Drosophila melanogaster: one gene and its partners. The protein of the gene in region 2 purifies or fractionates together with the protein of the main gene of each other region. This does not show direct contact. Each region holds a gene or a part of one and is shown on either strand. Other genes may lie near its edges. The genes, in order: Sil1, SPE, Tap42 and FipoQ.

Region 1 (4,033 bases), 1.5 Mb from region 2:
AGTAGCCATGGGAACCAAGGCGGCGTCCTAGCCGGCTCCCTTCCAGGCGCTGCTTCACCTTTACCACTCCACCTATCCGACCATCCACCGTCGTGACTCAGCCCCAGTGACATTGCATTTGCATGTGACTGCCGCTAATTGCTGTAATTCCCGCGCTGGACTTCGACTCCAACTTCCAACTTTGCCGGCACATAATTGCACTCTCCTGCTCCGATGTCCTTTCTCCTCCTGTACAGTTCCGTGCCAGGTTTTCCCTGTTCTTGTGGCTTCGTTTGGCTCACATTCAAACTTCAAGTGGTTTTTTGGGACATGCTTTCCTCGGCGTTTTTGCTTTCCTTCCGACACTTTTGACTTACTTTATGGCCCGGTCGATTATGCTCGCCTTATCGGGCTTTAAATGGGTCTGTAGTTCTATAGGGGTGGAATATCCAATCTCCTAATGCGATTTCTTGATTGAAAATACATTTCCTTTCATAATTTAGCACTACATTTTAAGAATATGCCACTGAAAAGAAGTCAACTGATTTAAGAAAGAATTTCTAAATTAAACATTAGGTCATTGCTTTATTATTGTAGCTACAATAAACAAGAACTTAAGGCTTTAAGGATTCATAATCTGTTTGGAGAACAATTCTGTAGCATACAAATTTTTGCTAGTTTAATGACGTGTAACAACATAATTATTTTGATGTGCTCGTTGGTGAATCGTCTGCCTATTAAAAAAAAATCACACTTAAAATAATCTTAAGTAAGAGACTATATTTGATAACGAAAATCCTGTAGATGTTTGGCATGATTGATTGCTATCCTAAGTTAATGACAAAGAGCATTATTTTTGCATCACAAGTACTTGGCATCTTAGCTATCGTATTCTATGGTTTGGCTGCGAATTTCATTCCAACTCAGCTTACAATTAAATGAAATTAACATAAATAACATAGTAAATTGGCTAGGATTACAGTTCGGTGTGCTTGGGCTTGTTGAACAATCTCTCGCACAGTTTGGCCAAAATCTGGGACACCTCCAGTCGGTACTCGTCCGTGCTGTTGGCATACCGATTGCGAACGGTTAATAGTGCATGCCTGAGACCGGAACTTTGCGACCACGTGCTGGTGCACATATCTTCGGTGGTCTCCAATGCGGTGGCAAACTGTTCCACCACCTCCGGTTGCTCTAGGAGGAGCAGGAACTCCTTGGTTAGCACAGTGTCCACCGCCGCGCAGTAGCCCGGCGTTTTCAGCCACGACTCGAAGTCCAAGAGCACATATTGCGCCATTGTGGATGAGGCTTCGGGATCATCTTTGCTGACATCCAGCACTGACCGCTTCTCCAGCACTAGGTCGCTTATGAGAGTCACTACCTTCGCCTTGCTCCGCAGCTCCACATCCGGACTCTGGAGCACCTTGATCAGAGCCTGTGTACCCGAGGTGGAAAGCACTCGCTGCTGGGCTAGCGGAAATTTCCGCAACAAGGCTCCAAAGGCGTGCAATGCAGCGGAGATCTCACCGACATTTCCGGAACTGGTCAGAATCTGAGCCAGATGAGACCCGAAATTCTTTTCGAACACCTTGATCTGGGCCTTGGGATTGTTGCTCGCCAGCGAGCCCAACACACGCATGGCCGACACTCTCAGGGATGTACTGGTATCGTTCACAACAATGGGCAGTAGTACATCATCCAATCCCCCATTATCAATGAACATCAAGGCATTGTCTATCTGATGGAGCAAATACTCCAGATTTTCCAGGCAGTCCAGCTTGGAGCGCATCTCTGACTCTAGCGGCGTTCTGCTGAAGTTCCGAAACTGATCGATTAACTGGACGATCAGTTCTCCGTCGGTGCGAAAGTTCTTCTGGAACTCTTTGTACGCTTTGCGTAGCTCGGCATAGCTCTTCTTCTGCTCCTTGACCCGCCGTATAGACTCCTCGATTATGTCCGGTTTATAGTCCAGAGCCAGGGGTTCGTTGTCATCGTGAGATTCCCGAGCATTCTGATCATCCGGTTGACTCTGCAGCGACGTGCCACGTTCGCTTTCGTCTAAGAGTTTGGCTTCCTTGAGCCCCGTTTGTAGGTTGATGCGCACGTGCAGGCCCCTTGGAATAGCTTGACCTGGAAATATAGAGTGCTCACTTAGTACACGTCATCCGAGAGTTAGCCTGGCTAGCCATTAACCTTCCGCAATCGTCTGCCATTCGTCGGTGGCCACGAAATCGTTGGTTTTGTTATCCGTTTCCGTTGCCGCTGCCACTTGTAAGCATCCCAGGATCAGGACACTGCCCAGAAGGATGACTACCTGCTTGCCACTCATACTGCTTCAGCTTGTCTTGCCTCCAGAATGTATTCAGTCTTTATTTCACCTGGTTTTAAGTAAGTTTCGTGAGAGTTTTTAAATCAGATTTCAGACTTCTGATGTGGATGTGGTTAATAGTATGACCGTAGGGAGCTGCATTGATTATACCGCATGTGGCGATATGTTCCGTGGAGAGCCAGTCGATTCGGAACCAGTCAAAGGCGGTTACAATTCAATTTCAAATTTGAAAATATTTGTAATCAATAAATTCGTTATAAACAATAGAATATATTAAAGTATTGAAAAAGTGTAAACTATATGTATGCTTTATAATCTTTCTTTATATTTATTAGATTGTGCTGTTGGACATTCCAAGCCAAATCTTATATAAATAAGTAATACAAAAATTAAGTAAAAATTTTTATGGTTAATTTTTGCTCTTAGTCCGGAATAGTTGGAAACTTTAAATGATTTCAAACATTATTTCGCTAACAAATTAATTTTTATCCCTAACGAACACAAATATTAATATTTTTAAACCTTAGTTTGTTGTGAAAAACAAGCATTGCTAGAAATTTCCAGACTTGAAATTAATATTTAAGAACCAGAAAAAGTTAATGCCATTCAGAACGATTAAACCACATCAAACCAGAATGCCACCAAAAATTCCCAAACTCATCGTGAATTCATTAAAAATTGAAAAGTAACCGCCATTCATAAGCTTTCCACTTCGTTACAACGTAGCTAAACTAGTTATAAACTAAACGTATTTACTGAGTTTACAAAGAAAAACGAAATCATGTTTACGCGCAGATGAATCAACCAACTCAAAATTGAAATGCCAAATTATTTGCAGGCAAGCCCGACGTAATAAAATAAAAGCGTGTTTGCATATATTACCATATTTCGCCCCCGAAAATCCGTTGTAATCTCGATGTCTACGACAGCGTCTAGGAATTGGCTGCGCAAACACATCAAAGTGGACAAAAGTGAAATATTTGGACTCACCTGGCGCCAATTGGATGGGTAAATAAACAGAATGCCGGTTTCATGCCAATCACACACCAAATATACATATACATATGTATATATGTAGTATATGCTAATTGCTGATGACGAACGCCAGGAGCCTTTAACTAGAATTTGCCAAATTAAATTCACTCGGCCCGTTCCGAACGTCGCCTGTCCAATAGTTTTGAAAGTGAAGCCACCTCGCCGAGCAACTTTTATCCGTCGATCCATCCATTATCGATTATCGATGCCGTTGGAACCTGTTTGATGTCGTCCAAAATGCCCGACTATGTCTAATTGGTTTATGTCGGAATTGAGTTGTGTTGGCCACAAAAAGATTTATCTTCGTACATATGTCCAAAACGGAAATTTCATAGTTGGGAGCCTTGGGATGCATTCTTCCTTCTGGTCGGAATACAATTTCATAACTTAAGTGATTTTTATCGTGGATCCTTAACCATGACCTATTCATTATCATTCCCTTTCAGATTGCCTGGCCATTTAGCACACTTAGGAATTCCCCCAGAGGTAGGTTCCCAATTCCAAGTGCTGATCTCAAAGCAAATATGGGATGAATAATATCATAAGCCAATAAGTACGAATTGATATTTGCACTTTATTAAAAGTGTGAACAAAGCGCGGATTCCATTTCACGGAGTTTGAATCTATAAAAAGTACACAAGATGCCGAAATATAGTGCAAATTATATATGTATAATTAAATTATATATAT
Region 2 (4,224 bases):
CACTCCTTTTCAATGCCACTCCTTTTCAAAACCAAAGCAATGTCATTCTGCTGGTCTACGGAATTAGGCAACTATTGGTCATGTACAATGCCCTTCTCCACCTCGTGTGTGGATATATTTCAAAATTTTAAGCGGATCCAGGTGAAATCGTTGTCGTTTATGGCATCCCATCTGAATGTTGGACCCACTCGGAAAATGCGCAGATGACCATTAGCAATAGTAGAAAATTCCATTCCATGGAAGCCATCTCGATACCCCAGAACCCAATCCGATACTGACCAAGCTCTCCGGCACATCTGCCGTCTAGATTGACAAGTGAGATGGCTATTGCAACAGAGATAAATGAGTTCCAGAGATTTTCCTCTACTTTTCCATTAGAATATGGGAAATTACGTGGGCAAGCTACTACCAGACTTTGCTGATCACAGATTGACAGAAAAGTGGTTCGATATTATTACAACCGGTTGTGCTCGCAAAACTTGACAGTGCCGATCTCATGTGAATTGATTAAACCCCAATATCTACATCGCGCTTTTCACATGGTTATCATGTATTTAAGTATGTATTCATCATGGCTCCAATTTCTGCTTTATCCAATCGATGAAAGCCCCCGTGCGGGTATAGACGCCGGGCCATCCCTTGAGGCCGCAGGGCTTCGTCCCGTAGGAGGTGACGCCGGCAATGTAGAAGACATCCCGGCCGCCCGTGGATATAGGCACCATAAGGGGACCGCCGGAATCGCCACCGCATGTATCCACGCCCAACTGGCCGCCGGCACACATCTGAGAATCGTCCAGTTTCACCTTGAAGCTGGAGTACTTTTCCTGACAACTCGTTAGGTTCCAAACGTTGACGGTGATCTTCAGCTTGATCGCACTTGGCTGCATGTTCTCGGTAAGTCCCCAGCCGGCCACATCCATGCCGTAGTCCACAAAGTTGTTTTGGACTAAACCATCCGTGGGAAGGCATATTGGACGCACGTAGTCGGTGTAGCTGTGGCAAAAACAAAAAAGCAAGTCAGTGGAATAATTGAGGGATCTCTGGACCACATACCTAACAATCCTCTTAAGGCGCACCAACGCAATGTCATTACGCTGATCAACGGAATTGGGAGCATACATCTCGTGGATGATGCCCTTCTCGACCTCAATGTCGATGTGTTTCGGTGCACAGATGCGCTGTCCGTTCATCTGGGTGGTGCAGTCAGGATCGGTACGAGTGTCCCACTCCCCCAGGCGAACGCTGTGTAGAACGGCACCGGATTTGTCCAGTTCTCGGCTGGCCAGGCAGTGTCCAGCGGTCAGGACGTAGCGCGAGTTGAGCAATGCACCGCCGCAGTTGAAAGTGTAGGTTTCAGAAAAAACTGAAAGGATAAAGAGCGTTTCCCAAGTACATATTATAAATTGATTAGATACTAATAATAGCCTTGTATATATTGAATATGCGTTTTCTTATAATGATGATCCCCCCATTGGAGAATTTGATTTGAAAAAGTGATTAAAAAATGATTACAGGTGACCTCGTGAAACAACCTTCCTATAAGAGATTAAAATAGAGCCTGGGTAGGTAATCTACTCACGTTTTTTGTACTGCAGCAATACCATCCATGGGAATTCCCAGAGGGTCGTATTGGTGCCCCCGAAAATGCGATCAGCGAAAAGGAAGCCGCAGACGTCATTTCCAGGCAGCACATCCCCCTGCTGCAGTGCATCCCTCGTCGAAGGAGTTGGTTCCGAGTCCATGATATTGCCCCGCATGCTCTGCGGACAGCAGACCAGGATTCGATTCACCAAGCCCTCAACCCTGTTGTCCAGGCCACACTGGCTCTTGGAGAGAAGGATTCGCTGGGCGGGAGTCTTTGGCTCCACCATCAGCAGGTTGGCCAGGTAGGGGCAGCTGGTGATGTGAACGCACTGGCCGCGCTCATCGCTCTGCTGGGGCGTACAACTGCCAAAGCTGATCTCCGCTGCGTCTGGAAGAGAAGAGCGCGATTTACGATGCAGTCTAACCGGTTCTGAACCAATCCATTAAAGGCAATCCATTCTACTAATGGACTTCATGTCTAATATTTCTCATAAAATTTCTTAGTCCGGGAAACTATATGTTGATATTTAATATATTTGAAGTTTTCAAAAACTCTTTGATTATTAGTTGTTATGGTTTTTATTCTCACAATCAACAAGGTCAAGTGCTTAGTTTTTCTAGCTTTATTCAAACTATATACTATACTATACTATATATATAGAACTATATACTTTTGAAAGAAGCACCATTGCATCCAGTTGCTGTGGATATTGTTTGCCCAAAGGACAGCTTACCCACCTGATCGATGGACCAAGCCGGATAATGCGCTGACCACCAGTGACAGTAGCAGAAAATTCCGTTCCGTAGAAGCCATCTCGTCGCTATGGGCTCCAAGCTGATACTAACCAAGCTGTCCGGCAGTTTCGCTGTCACCGATTCTCTCCCGATGCATTGGGCGTGATTAGCAGAGGTTATCTCCGGACTCAATACCATCTAGATTGCAACAAAGGCAAAAGCTATGTGAATAGGGTGGTCTTTCCCTGCCTTAATATTTACATAGTAGTTCTGCTGAGCTGGGCAAACCCAGCGGTGTAGTTATTAGAAATTTATTTATGCTTAATCTTCTCTCGGCACGTTATGTTTTTTGAACAACACGTTTTTTAAAAAACAATCTTCAGTGCTTTTTCTTATCTTTTGGGGTTTTATAGGTCTATTACTTTATAGTAGTGGATTAATGGAACAGATGCTATTCCAATTTTGCAAATATGAATTCTTTATTAAAATTAGGGAGCCAAATTCGCTTTGATCCACTCCGAAAAGTGGCCAATTTTTGTGTAAACACCTGGAATACCAGCAGAGTAGCAATATTGTTGTCCATATGAGGCAATGCCTGCCAAAAAGACGAACTCGTCGACGCCGCTTCCCATGATGCCCATTACCGGACTGCCGGAGATGCCCGCACAGGTGTCCCCTTTCCGTTGACCACCGGCGCATACTTGGGACGCGGAGCGAAAGCTGGGATACCTATTCAAGCAATCAGCAGGATTCCTTTCCTTGACCGTGCTGGTGATCAACGTTTGACTGCTTTTAGTCGGATCCCAGCCAGAGATTTGCAAATTCAAATCCTGTAGGGGAAATTCGGCGTCCAATAGACAAATGGGTTGGATCTTTTTCGTGTATCTAGCGGGTTTGTAAAGAAATTTCCATAAGATGTGGAGATTAGGGTGGAGATCACTGCTACTCACCGCACTGGGAATTGCAATCGGAGGAGGGCGATGTCGTTGCGGTAAGTTCCGCCACTCGAAGTGAAACCCTGATGTACTGTTGTTTGCCCCACCTCCACATCCAAATGTGGACACCTGCTTTCCGAGGTGATGCAGTCGGTAGTGGACTCGCCCAGGCGCACACTCTTCAGAACCAGGTCATTCTGCGTCAAGTAACCACCGATCACGCAGTGGGCAGCGGTCAGCACATAGCGACTGTAAAATCCCAAATGAGAAGACTTTACTCGTTGAGTTTTTGTAAGAAACTAATTTTATTTGGAAATATCTTCGGTTTAAATAGGTGACATGAGAATCGCATCTTAAAGTAAATGGCCTACGCAGAGGCCTAAGTAAATAGTCCCCGCCTTATCGAGGTCCCACGCTCGGGCACATCTGCCTATCTTGAGCGGCGAGGACCTTATCTGTGGTCTCCCACTAAGGGACTATTTTAGGAGGCGGGGAAAGATCTCAAGTGACTGACTCATGTAGTGTGCACTTAAATTACATGTTTTTGAGCAATGCACCCATGTCGCCTTAGATAACAAAATCCTAAATATAATTTATCGCTCTCGATTCATTTACATAAGATATGAACGGAGCCCAAAATTGTAAGTCTTTAAATATATTCGTGTTCATGTGTGAACAGCGACTGTTGATCAGTGAGCCCGCACAACCAGTTCGTTGATTCCACATCAAGGATAGCCGATTCTCATATAACAGCAATACCATCCAAGGGTACTCATTAAGCTCTGCATTCTCGGCACCCCGATCTCGGAACACGGGCGTCGTTTGTCCACAGGTCTGTTTGTTGGGCAAGACGTCACCCAACTCTGGGCAGCAGACATAAACCATGTGCAACAACTCGTGTCCATTGGGGTCCAGGCCACACTGCCTGTGTGCAAACACATCTTTCTCCGCCTGGGTCATGCCCCGGGGC
Region 3 (3,756 bases), on a different chromosome or scaffold from region 2:
CGGTGGGCAGGTAGACGGAGGCACGCTTCTGCGACGTTCGAATTCCATGTTCGTTGCTCAAATGGGTAAAATTGCTCGAATCGTGTATGGGCAGACCCTTGATAAAGTCTCGTACTGACATTCTGCTTTTGGGTTGCTGCAGAGTACGAAAAGTGTTAACACTTGATACTACCACGTATCTGCTGTATTTTAACACACCTCACTTTAATCTTTGTTGATCTATCAATATTTCGAGAGAACTGTCTTCTCTTTTACGTTTTTTGTGTAGCAACTCACAAAAATTTAACTTGTGCTTGAGATTTTTGTTTTTGTTACTGGTGGTGACAATCAGTGCTGCAAAATGCGCGATTACAGCCAAACGCCTACCAATACTGCAACAGTGGAACTATTCTAACTATTTATTTACTGTATATATTGTCAATTCAATAAAAAAGAAAACAATTTTTATTTTATCAATAGCGCATCCCTAGGATTTATAAATAAATTTAGAAACTAGAATTATTTTTTGAATATACTGACTTAAAACCAGTCTTGCGGTTATACCATTTTATTGGGTTTTAAAAAAATACATAAATTTTGAGTTCCTTAACTACGGTTATGACGGTTGCCGTCACCGCGACGCACCACATCCTTGTATTCATCCATGCGCCTCATGCGGTCTATATACTCGGGATCATCCTGCTCCGCCTGTAGCTCCTCAACGGCCTTCTCCTCGTCCTCTTTTTCGTTGGGATCCCGGGCGGCCGCGATGGCCTGTGCCTGATTCATCTTGGCAACCTTCTCCTCATCAGGAAAGATGCCCTCGTCGACGCGCTGCTGGTAGAATTCATCAACAGTCATAATGGGCAAACTGGGGTATCCCAAGCCGAAAACCGCCTTCTGGGTGGCATTACGTGTTATGATGAAGGGCTGCAAGGGCTTTGGCTTAGCGGCCTGCTGATGATGGTGGTGGTGTCCGGGTCCGTGGCTGTGACCATGACCGCGGGAGGTGGACGATGCAGAAGATTGATTTTGATTCGGTGGACGGAACGAATCCACTTCGTTGTCGGATTCGCCACCAGCCAATCGGGCAAGGCGCATCTGGGCCAGCTGCTTCATTACGCCCAATGTTTCTAATTCCTGCTTGGAGTCTATTATACTCTTGTCCAAATACTTGAGGAAAAAGACACGTTTATCCTCATCGTCGACCGTTTTGTTCTTGACTGCATCGCGCATTCTGGCCATATACTCGTCAATCTCCTTCATCCGGCGATACTGGGCTATTTTGTCGTTTCTATTGAAGGCTGCCTCTACCAGCTCGCGCTGCTCGCTTTTTTCCGCTTGGCTATCCGCCTTAGCCACCTGAGATTTGGGCGCTGCACAGAGATCATACTCCTGGCAACGCTGCAGGTGGTCCTTGAAGTAAATCTCGCCCAGCTCTATGGAGTGTGTGTTATTGGGGCTGTTGATCTTAGTGGTAAGCTTGCCCAGAAAGTAAGGGAGCAGCATGAATGGTAGCGATTCCGTGGACACCTCGTCGATCAACTCGTTGGCACTGAACATGCTAACCTGGTTCACAATGACGGTGGCCTGCTCGAAAAGGCCCATTGCAGTCTTCACTTTGTTCTAAACGTTGTGGTAAACGTTCAATGCTGGTTTTTATTACATATATATGAAGATCTTCAATATTACACACCTGAAATTCGCTGCCATTGAAGGGCAGTTCGGTAACTTCTAGCTCGTCGAATATGTTCCAGCCCTTTAGAAAGATGTCCGTCAGCTTTTGGTCCTCTCCGCCAGCGGTATTACCCTCAGCCATTTAAAGATTTGGATATAAGTTTATAGTTAATGGGTATTTTCAATAATATAAATAATATTGCGAAAATAATGTGCAAGATGCCGACGCCGAAACAGCTGTTTACAAAATGAAGGTACGCAAAATACCAGATAAACCAGGGCTGGTGTATAAAAAAGTTCTTACAAATTTCTAGCTATATTTATGTCGTTAAGTTTGTAAACATTTATGGTGACACCATTGAAGCCCGTGTAAGATGTCTTATGGATGACCTATAGCACATTTGCTTTAATACAATTGTTATTAAAAATTTCGATGAATAAAATAATACCAGAATGTAGCAAAAATCCTTTATTAAACCATTAAAAAGTCTAAGGATCTAGCTAAAAATTTGTTTCTGGTTTATGGTGTCTGTAGGAGTAGATGCAATCCGATGGAATTAGCCCTTTAGCGTGGACTCGAGCTCATTGTTCGCCAGCAGTTCCTTAATAATATCGAGTCCGCCGATAAGTTCACCCTTGACGTAAACCTGGGGATATGTGGGCCAGTCGGAGTAGGTTTTCAGGCCTTGACGCACTTCTTCGTCGCCGAGGATGTCAAATGTCTCGTACGGCAAGCTATCGAAGGATATTTTCGTTTATAACTTGAAATCAAATACAACTGATGATCAATTTGCATACTTGGTTTCGTTCACAATGCCGATGAGCTGCTTGGAGAATCCGCAACGCGGTCCATTTCGGTCGCCCTTCATGAATATCATCAGCGGAGCTGTATTGATTAGGGCCTTTAGGCGTTCCTCCAACGTTTGTCCTGTTGCCGCCGCGCTGCTTGCGTTTTCGGCCAACTTTTTGGATTTGGCGCTTATGGCGGCGATGTCTACACCATCGACACGGTCAACGGCGGAGCCCTTGGCGAAGAATATGACTGTGGGCACGGCCTCGATCTGGTGGCATCGCAAATGAATGAGGAACTACTGTTATATTTTCATAAAATAAATACGAGCGTACCTGATGTTTCATGGAAATCTCGGGAAATTGTTCAGCGTTTAGGCTGATGAACTGCAGTTTTTCGCCAGTAATCTTGGCCAGCTCCTCCAGCGCGTCTTTCACCTGACCGCATTGCTCTGCCCATTCGGCGGCGAATAGAGCTACGGTCGTCTTATCCGCATTAATGTACTTCTGGTACTCCTCGGCAGCCGACACGTTCACCACGGGCATGATTTCTTTGAATTATTTAACTAAATTTGCTGGACAAGCAAAATTTACAAAAAGCAGACCGAATTATCAGCTGTGGAAGAGAGTTGCCACTTTCCGTAAAGAAGTCAGCGCTGGTAGCTATAAAATAACAACCTATAAATGGCTAAAAATATATAAAATTGTATTAAAATGTATAAAGCAAGCGTTTCATGAAGTATCAAAACTAGCAATTTAAATATTCTTTTTATTATTCTTTTTTTCTTTATTTTATTCTTTGAAAATTATTTCATTAGCTTGAGTTTTTGTTGTCATTTTCAGTACAGCTCATGCATTTAGAGCTGTTGGACGAAATTTGGAGAAAATGTCGTTTCAACATCTGGCAACATCGAACGGCAACACGTGCGGTCGTGCCGTACCGTATTCAATATACACAGCTCACTTATTTTTCGCAACTAAAAGTTGAATTAGCCGGATAATGGTGACGCGCAAGAAGCCAGTTAAGCGCAACGCCGAGGCGGCCGAAATCCAGGTCGAGCAGGAGGAGGACGCTTCACAGCCGAAGGTGGCCAAGGAGCTGATGGTGGTCGCCCAGGAGGTGAAAATTATACGTGCTCTTGCCTGCAACGATGTGGTGGAGCGTAATCGCCAGATCCGCATTTTGCGCAAGTGGTTCAAGGCGCGTGCCGGTAGCTCCTTTCCCTTCAACGAGGACGACTTCATGCGCATCTGGAAGGGATTGTACTACACCATGTGGATGTCGGATAAGCCGCTGGTGCAGGAGGAGCT
Region 4 (4,922 bases), 5.8 Mb from region 2:
TCGACCACAGCACCCACCTTCGATCCTATATCGTCATAGGCACAGACATTACGTATGTATAACTCACGCAGCTATGCTTAACTAAATTATATACCATGCATATAATAGCTGAACGCTGATCGGCAATGAGACGATAATTCAAACGGAGATGATCTACATATGTACGTTAAGTTTATGGTAAAAAGTCGATTCAAAAATGTTGAAACATACACACACAAAAAAAAAATTAAATTAGCATTAAGTTTGCAATGGATGAAAGCAGTGTAAAAATCATCAGCAAAACGCTAAAACGCAAAAACGATAAACATTTTATGTGGTGAAGTCTGAAAATGATTTAATCAAGTTACCAAGTAAATCTAGTTAAAAACAAAACACGAATCAACGCGGATTGAAATGATTAAAAAAAAAAAAAAAATGATTTAAAAACGAGAGCAAGGCGAAAAGTTGCGTTGTATAATTTTGTAATGTAAAAATAACTTGTATAAGCAAATCCTTGTTTTGTTTTTATTTAAATTACCTATGTACGTTTATTTAGATTTAAAGTAATTAAACGAAAGAAGCGGAAAATACAGAAAACATTAAAACACTCTTATTGTAAGCGAAAACACACAGAAACATTGCTTCTCCTCCGGCCCTGTTGTGGGTAAATCCCATCCAGAGCTCTGCAACCGGGTAAGTGCAAGCTACCAATCCTCTCTTGGCTTTCAGCTCTGAACCTCAGAGGCTCAGTTGAAAATCAAATCGTTGTAGTTGCGGAGCAGGTGATAGGGAGACACACGGCAGCAGGTGGTGGTGCGCACCACGGTGATGCGATCGGCACGCTCAAAGTTGGCCTTGACCGTCTCATAGTAGCGACCATCGCTGGAAGCGAAATATTGATGTTAATCCCGCATAGAAATAGGAGTCTGATGTAGACCCACCTGAGCACCATGCAGCGCAGCTTGAGGCACTTGACGCGCAGAATATCGATGGCCTTCTGGCTCTTGTCGGAGAAGCGCAGGTTGTCCGGATCCCAGCGCAGCTCCAGCCGCTCCAAGTTGCCGCAATTCGAGGCGATGGTGTCCATCAGCTGGTCCACGTGGATGTTGACGCCCAGCTTCTCTGCGGTGCCCATAACAATGATCCTGCAGGTTAAGAAAGTTCAGCTCATAATAAAATGTCTTTTCATTCGATGACCAATAGTGTCGCCTACTTGCAGTTGCCCAGCAGGGGCAGGATGCTCATCCACAGCTGGTCGGTGATGTGGGGCATGCCCGAGAGACAGCAGGCGCTCAGCTGATGACCCTGGCGCTGTATAAACTTAAGCAGGCCCTCATCCGAGATGTTGTCCGAGGAGTCCAAGTCCAGGGAAATGAGCGACCTAAATCATACTGCTATCGGAGTGCTTACACAGACGGGTAGGTACTGTCTCCGCTCACCTGGTGGTGCCCGATTCCATCCACTGCTTGAGAACGCTGTCGTTGAAGCCATTGATCTGGCCGGCTGAGAGGAACTTGAGGCTGGGGATCCTGCTCAGCATGTCCACGAGGCATTCGGTCGAAAGATCGGTGGCCGTGATGTCCAGCTCCTGCAGGGCGCACTTGTCCCACTCGGCCTGCATGACGAACTCCGACTTCAGGCTGGTGCCGTTCATGAGCAGGCAGGTGAGGCGCTTGGAACGCTGGATCAGGGTCTTCAGGGTGGAGCCGGTCACTTTGTTGCAGAAGTTGACGGCCAGGCACTCCAGCTGGATGCAGTTCGAGCTGAAGGCGTCGATGTGCGAGTCATCGATGAAGTTGATGCCGTACAGGTTGATCACACGCAAATTGGGCGTGGCCGACTTGAGCTTGTGCACGTTGATCACCTCGTAGATCTCCTCCTCCTCCTCCTCGCACTTCTCGTACGTGCCAATTAGATGCAGCACCTCCAGGCCGTTGATGAAGTTGTAGATTTTGCGCATGAAGCCCTCCATGAAGATCACCTCCGAGAGGCAGACGCACATGTAGCGCAGCTTGGTGGGAAAGGCCTGCATCTCGCTGAAGTCGTGCAGCTGCATGGCTAAGAAGTACACAGGACACTCTAGAGTTTAAGACGGACGATCGGCGACGTGGCGCACCCACCTGTGGAGAAGTCCAGCAGCATGTGGGTCAAATTGGGGCACTTGGCGGACAGTTCGTGGAGCACCGTGTGCGTGATCAGCTCGATGGGCAGCTCGATGTAGCGCAGAGTCGGTCCGAATCTCACCGAGATCAGCTGCAGCAGCATCTCCAGCGAGCCCACGTGCAGTCCGGAGACCTCCGGTCGCAGGCTCACGTTCTTCCACAGCCGCGTGTCGTATGCAATCTGCCGCCATCGTCGGCAAATCCTGGCCAGGCGGCAGATCTCGCGGTGCGACAGATACGAGAAGATGTGCAGCAGCACCTTGTCCGGCAGCTTCTCAATGGTCTGTGGATGAGAGTCACGATATATAGTGGTATATCCTATGGTACTACATAAGTGATTCAAATATGATCTCTAAATGTAAATCTAAACGACAGTTCGGAATAGTTGAGTGCGAATGTGGTGCTATATATTCTACGGGTGAGTGAATCTATAGATACTCTCTCTTACGCCACAGACTGGCTCTCCCAAATGAGTGGGATCCCTAAGTAATATCCCAAACCCATCGTACCGTATCGGCGAAGGGACTGCGAACTGTGCCGTCGGAGAGGTAGACCTGCGATGCCTCCACGGCCAGCTGACCCCAGATATCGGTGGATATATCCATGGCTGGGTGTGGATGATTCGGAACCACTTGCTTATATAAAAAAAAAATATAGCTACACACGGGGCAAACTACGCGTGCTCTGCCTGCGAGGCGAGAATATCCGTCGTATCGAGCTACTTTCGCGCTACTGCGAGCCGCATTCCCATCGACGTGCCATCGGAATCTCCAAAGATCCGCCAGGCAGTAGTAGACTCAAGAGAACCCTAGGCTTATTTATAGACCAGCGCCAGTAACGAGAGCACTGCCACATCGCATCACTCAATCACTCTACTTTCGGATGCATCAGCTGTGCTGTTCACGGGCGACGCACCACACCACTCACGCACTCTTTAAGAACAAATAGAACCACTAGAACCACCAGCACCACTCACCCAGCGGTGCACGTGGAGAAACATGCTGATAAAATCCCTGCCAAATCTCTTCCTTTCCTCGTCAGATTCAAAATCATTAGTAAGCTGTATAAAAGTATCTCGAGATATTTTACTATATTTTACTTATATCTAAAAGTATCTGATATTGCTGATAGTATCTACCTTTTGTAGGTTCGGATAACCTATGGATTCATCTTAAGATATTTCTACTTCTTAGATACTTTAAGATGCATCTGAAAATGCTTCTGTTTCCCGAGGAATAACCTTCTGAGCTTTATCCTTTAGCGCCTACTTTAAGATACATTTCCGCACAGCCTGCTTTTGCATATATATATTTAATAGTAATAATAGATTTCGAACCCCTTTTACTTTCTCAGTGCACAATGTTTGTTGCCAAGAATTCTATATATACGCCATCGTTCGTCTGTCTGGCTTTGTTTTGTTTACTACATCTAATATGTATATCTATCTGCACATGTGTATGTTCTATGTACAGGGTACTCACCAGTCGGGTCTTCACCACGCCAGAGTCGTGGAGTCCGATGGCCTGCGAGGAGGTTTGCGCTGCCAAAACATTCCAATTATCCATGGTGGGCACTGCGCTCTAGTTCGCGATTTGGATTGGGATCAGCCGGAAAGCTGAAGGTGTTCGCTGTCTCAGCTGTACAATATGTATGTATGTATGGTCTTGCTGGATCCGTCCGCTTCTATCTATGTATCTATGTATCTATGTATCTAACTAAGGGAGGAGATGTGCCGGCTATACTCGCATGAGATACATTCATTCATGAGCTAAACTATTTCTGCAAGGCTTTCCCAATTAGTCACACTGAATTCTGAGCATTTCAAACTAATTGTTATTTAGAAATTATTAGTTTACAAGCAGCTAAGCTAATTAAATTACCACATTTTGAAGCAAATTAATAGGAAATCTATATTCAGTAGTCTATTAGTTCTGGAAAGTATAAGTATATTAAGTAAGCAAGCGAAAGCAGTTAGTTAAAACTTCGTTTTTACTATGTTATTTACCCATTTGATTAGTTGATCAAACGAAATTGTTAGACACTTTCCGCAAATAAACGAGTGCGAGAAGGAAAGCTTTTAATTAATTAATTAATTGATGCCCGCAGGCGATTAAAATAGCAAATTCACAATTATGCAAACTCAGTGAACACACACACATTGTTCACTTGCGACTTTTGATTTTCGACGAGGATGGGCGTCACATCTGAATTTGTTTCATCCTTCGCCCGGTTTATTAATAGTTTTCCCTCAGCTGGTGGATCTGGTGGAAAAAACTGTTGGGGTTGCAAGTGCAACGTGGAAAGTGCAGTTTCGTAACTTTAGCACTTTCGTTGCAAGTTGAAAAAAAAAACTAGGGAAATTCACTTGGCAAATTCACTTATTCTGTTGCAAATTACTGGCAAATCGGATTGATAAATTCCGGCGAAAATCGACGGATTCTGCGGCTTTACATGGGCGAATGCTCCGCGTTCTCGACGGCTCCACAACTCTGAGAAAACTGAGAAAATCAGGCGTCCGCGGAAAATGGTTTATGCCAAAATTCACTCGGCTAGTTGATCGTACTACATGCGGAGTACATGGCTACATGGGCATCTGGGGATCTGTGGATCTGTGGATATGGAGGGGTTATTCGGGGCGATCTCTGCGAGTGCAGGCGTCATTTGCTTTTCCCATGGCGAGCGGCCAACAGAGGGGCGGTTGCCCAGGGGGCGTGGTCGATCGTTGGGAAACAGATATTACAAATGCTAGAAACTACAAAAAATCACTTCTTATGATTTGAG

The links.
Region 1: the proteins of SPE (region 2) and Sil1 purify together in Drosophila melanogaster (affinity purification with mass spectrometry, with the first as the bait; one large-scale study listed by BioGRID). This does not show direct contact.
Region 3: the proteins of SPE (region 2) and Tap42 purify together in Drosophila melanogaster (affinity purification with mass spectrometry, with the first as the bait; one large-scale study listed by BioGRID). This does not show direct contact.
Region 4: the proteins of SPE (region 2) and FipoQ purify together in Drosophila melanogaster (affinity purification with mass spectrometry, with the first as the bait; one large-scale study listed by BioGRID). This does not show direct contact.

Annotation. Positions count from the first base shown.
Region 1 is NT_033777.3:25,233,090-25,237,122, forward strand, and holds Sil1 (Sil1 nucleotide exchange factor), read right to left. Parts: upstream 2,441-4,033; 5' UTR 2,309-2,440; coding exon 2,173-2,308; intron 2,110-2,172; coding exon 956-2,109; 3' UTR 547-955; downstream 1-546. UniProt on the Drosophila melanogaster protein: Required for protein translocation and folding in the endoplasmic reticulum (ER). Functions as a nucleotide exchange factor for an ER lumenal chaperone of HSP70 family.
Region 2 is NT_033777.3:23,684,460-23,688,683, reverse strand, and holds SPE (Spatzle-Processing enzyme), read right to left. Parts: upstream 2,430-4,224; 5' UTR 2,399-2,429; coding exon 2,323-2,398; exon of another isoform or gene 2,147-2,322; intron 1,973-2,146; coding exon 1,580-1,972; intron 1,364-1,579; coding exon 1,054-1,363; intron 994-1,053; coding exon 570-993; 3' UTR 537-569; downstream 1-536. Other genes in the region: CG18754 (uncharacterized protein), read right to left, coding at 2,808-3,204, 3,270-3,503, 3,979-4,224.
Region 3 is NT_033779.5:13,365,766-13,369,521, reverse strand, and holds Tap42 (Two A-associated protein of 42kDa), read right to left. Parts: upstream 1,906-3,756; 5' UTR 1,799-1,905; coding exon 1,676-1,798; intron 1,606-1,675; coding exon 586-1,605; 3' UTR 501-585; downstream 1-500. Other genes in the region: CG31855 (uncharacterized protein), read right to left, coding at 1-121; Grx3 (glutaredoxin 3), read right to left, coding at 2,214-2,391, 2,455-2,717, 2,782-2,991; Nnp-1, read left to right, coding at 3,446-3,756.
Region 4 is NT_033777.3:29,494,502-29,499,423, reverse strand, and holds FipoQ (F-box involved in polyQ pathogenesis), read right to left. Parts: upstream 2,884-4,922; 5' UTR 2,747-2,883; coding exon 2,651-2,746; intron 2,425-2,650; coding exon 2,100-2,424; intron 2,038-2,099; coding exon 1,419-2,037; intron 1,361-1,418; coding exon 1,193-1,360; intron 1,125-1,192; coding exon 921-1,124; intron 862-920; coding exon 726-861; 3' UTR 501-725; downstream 1-500.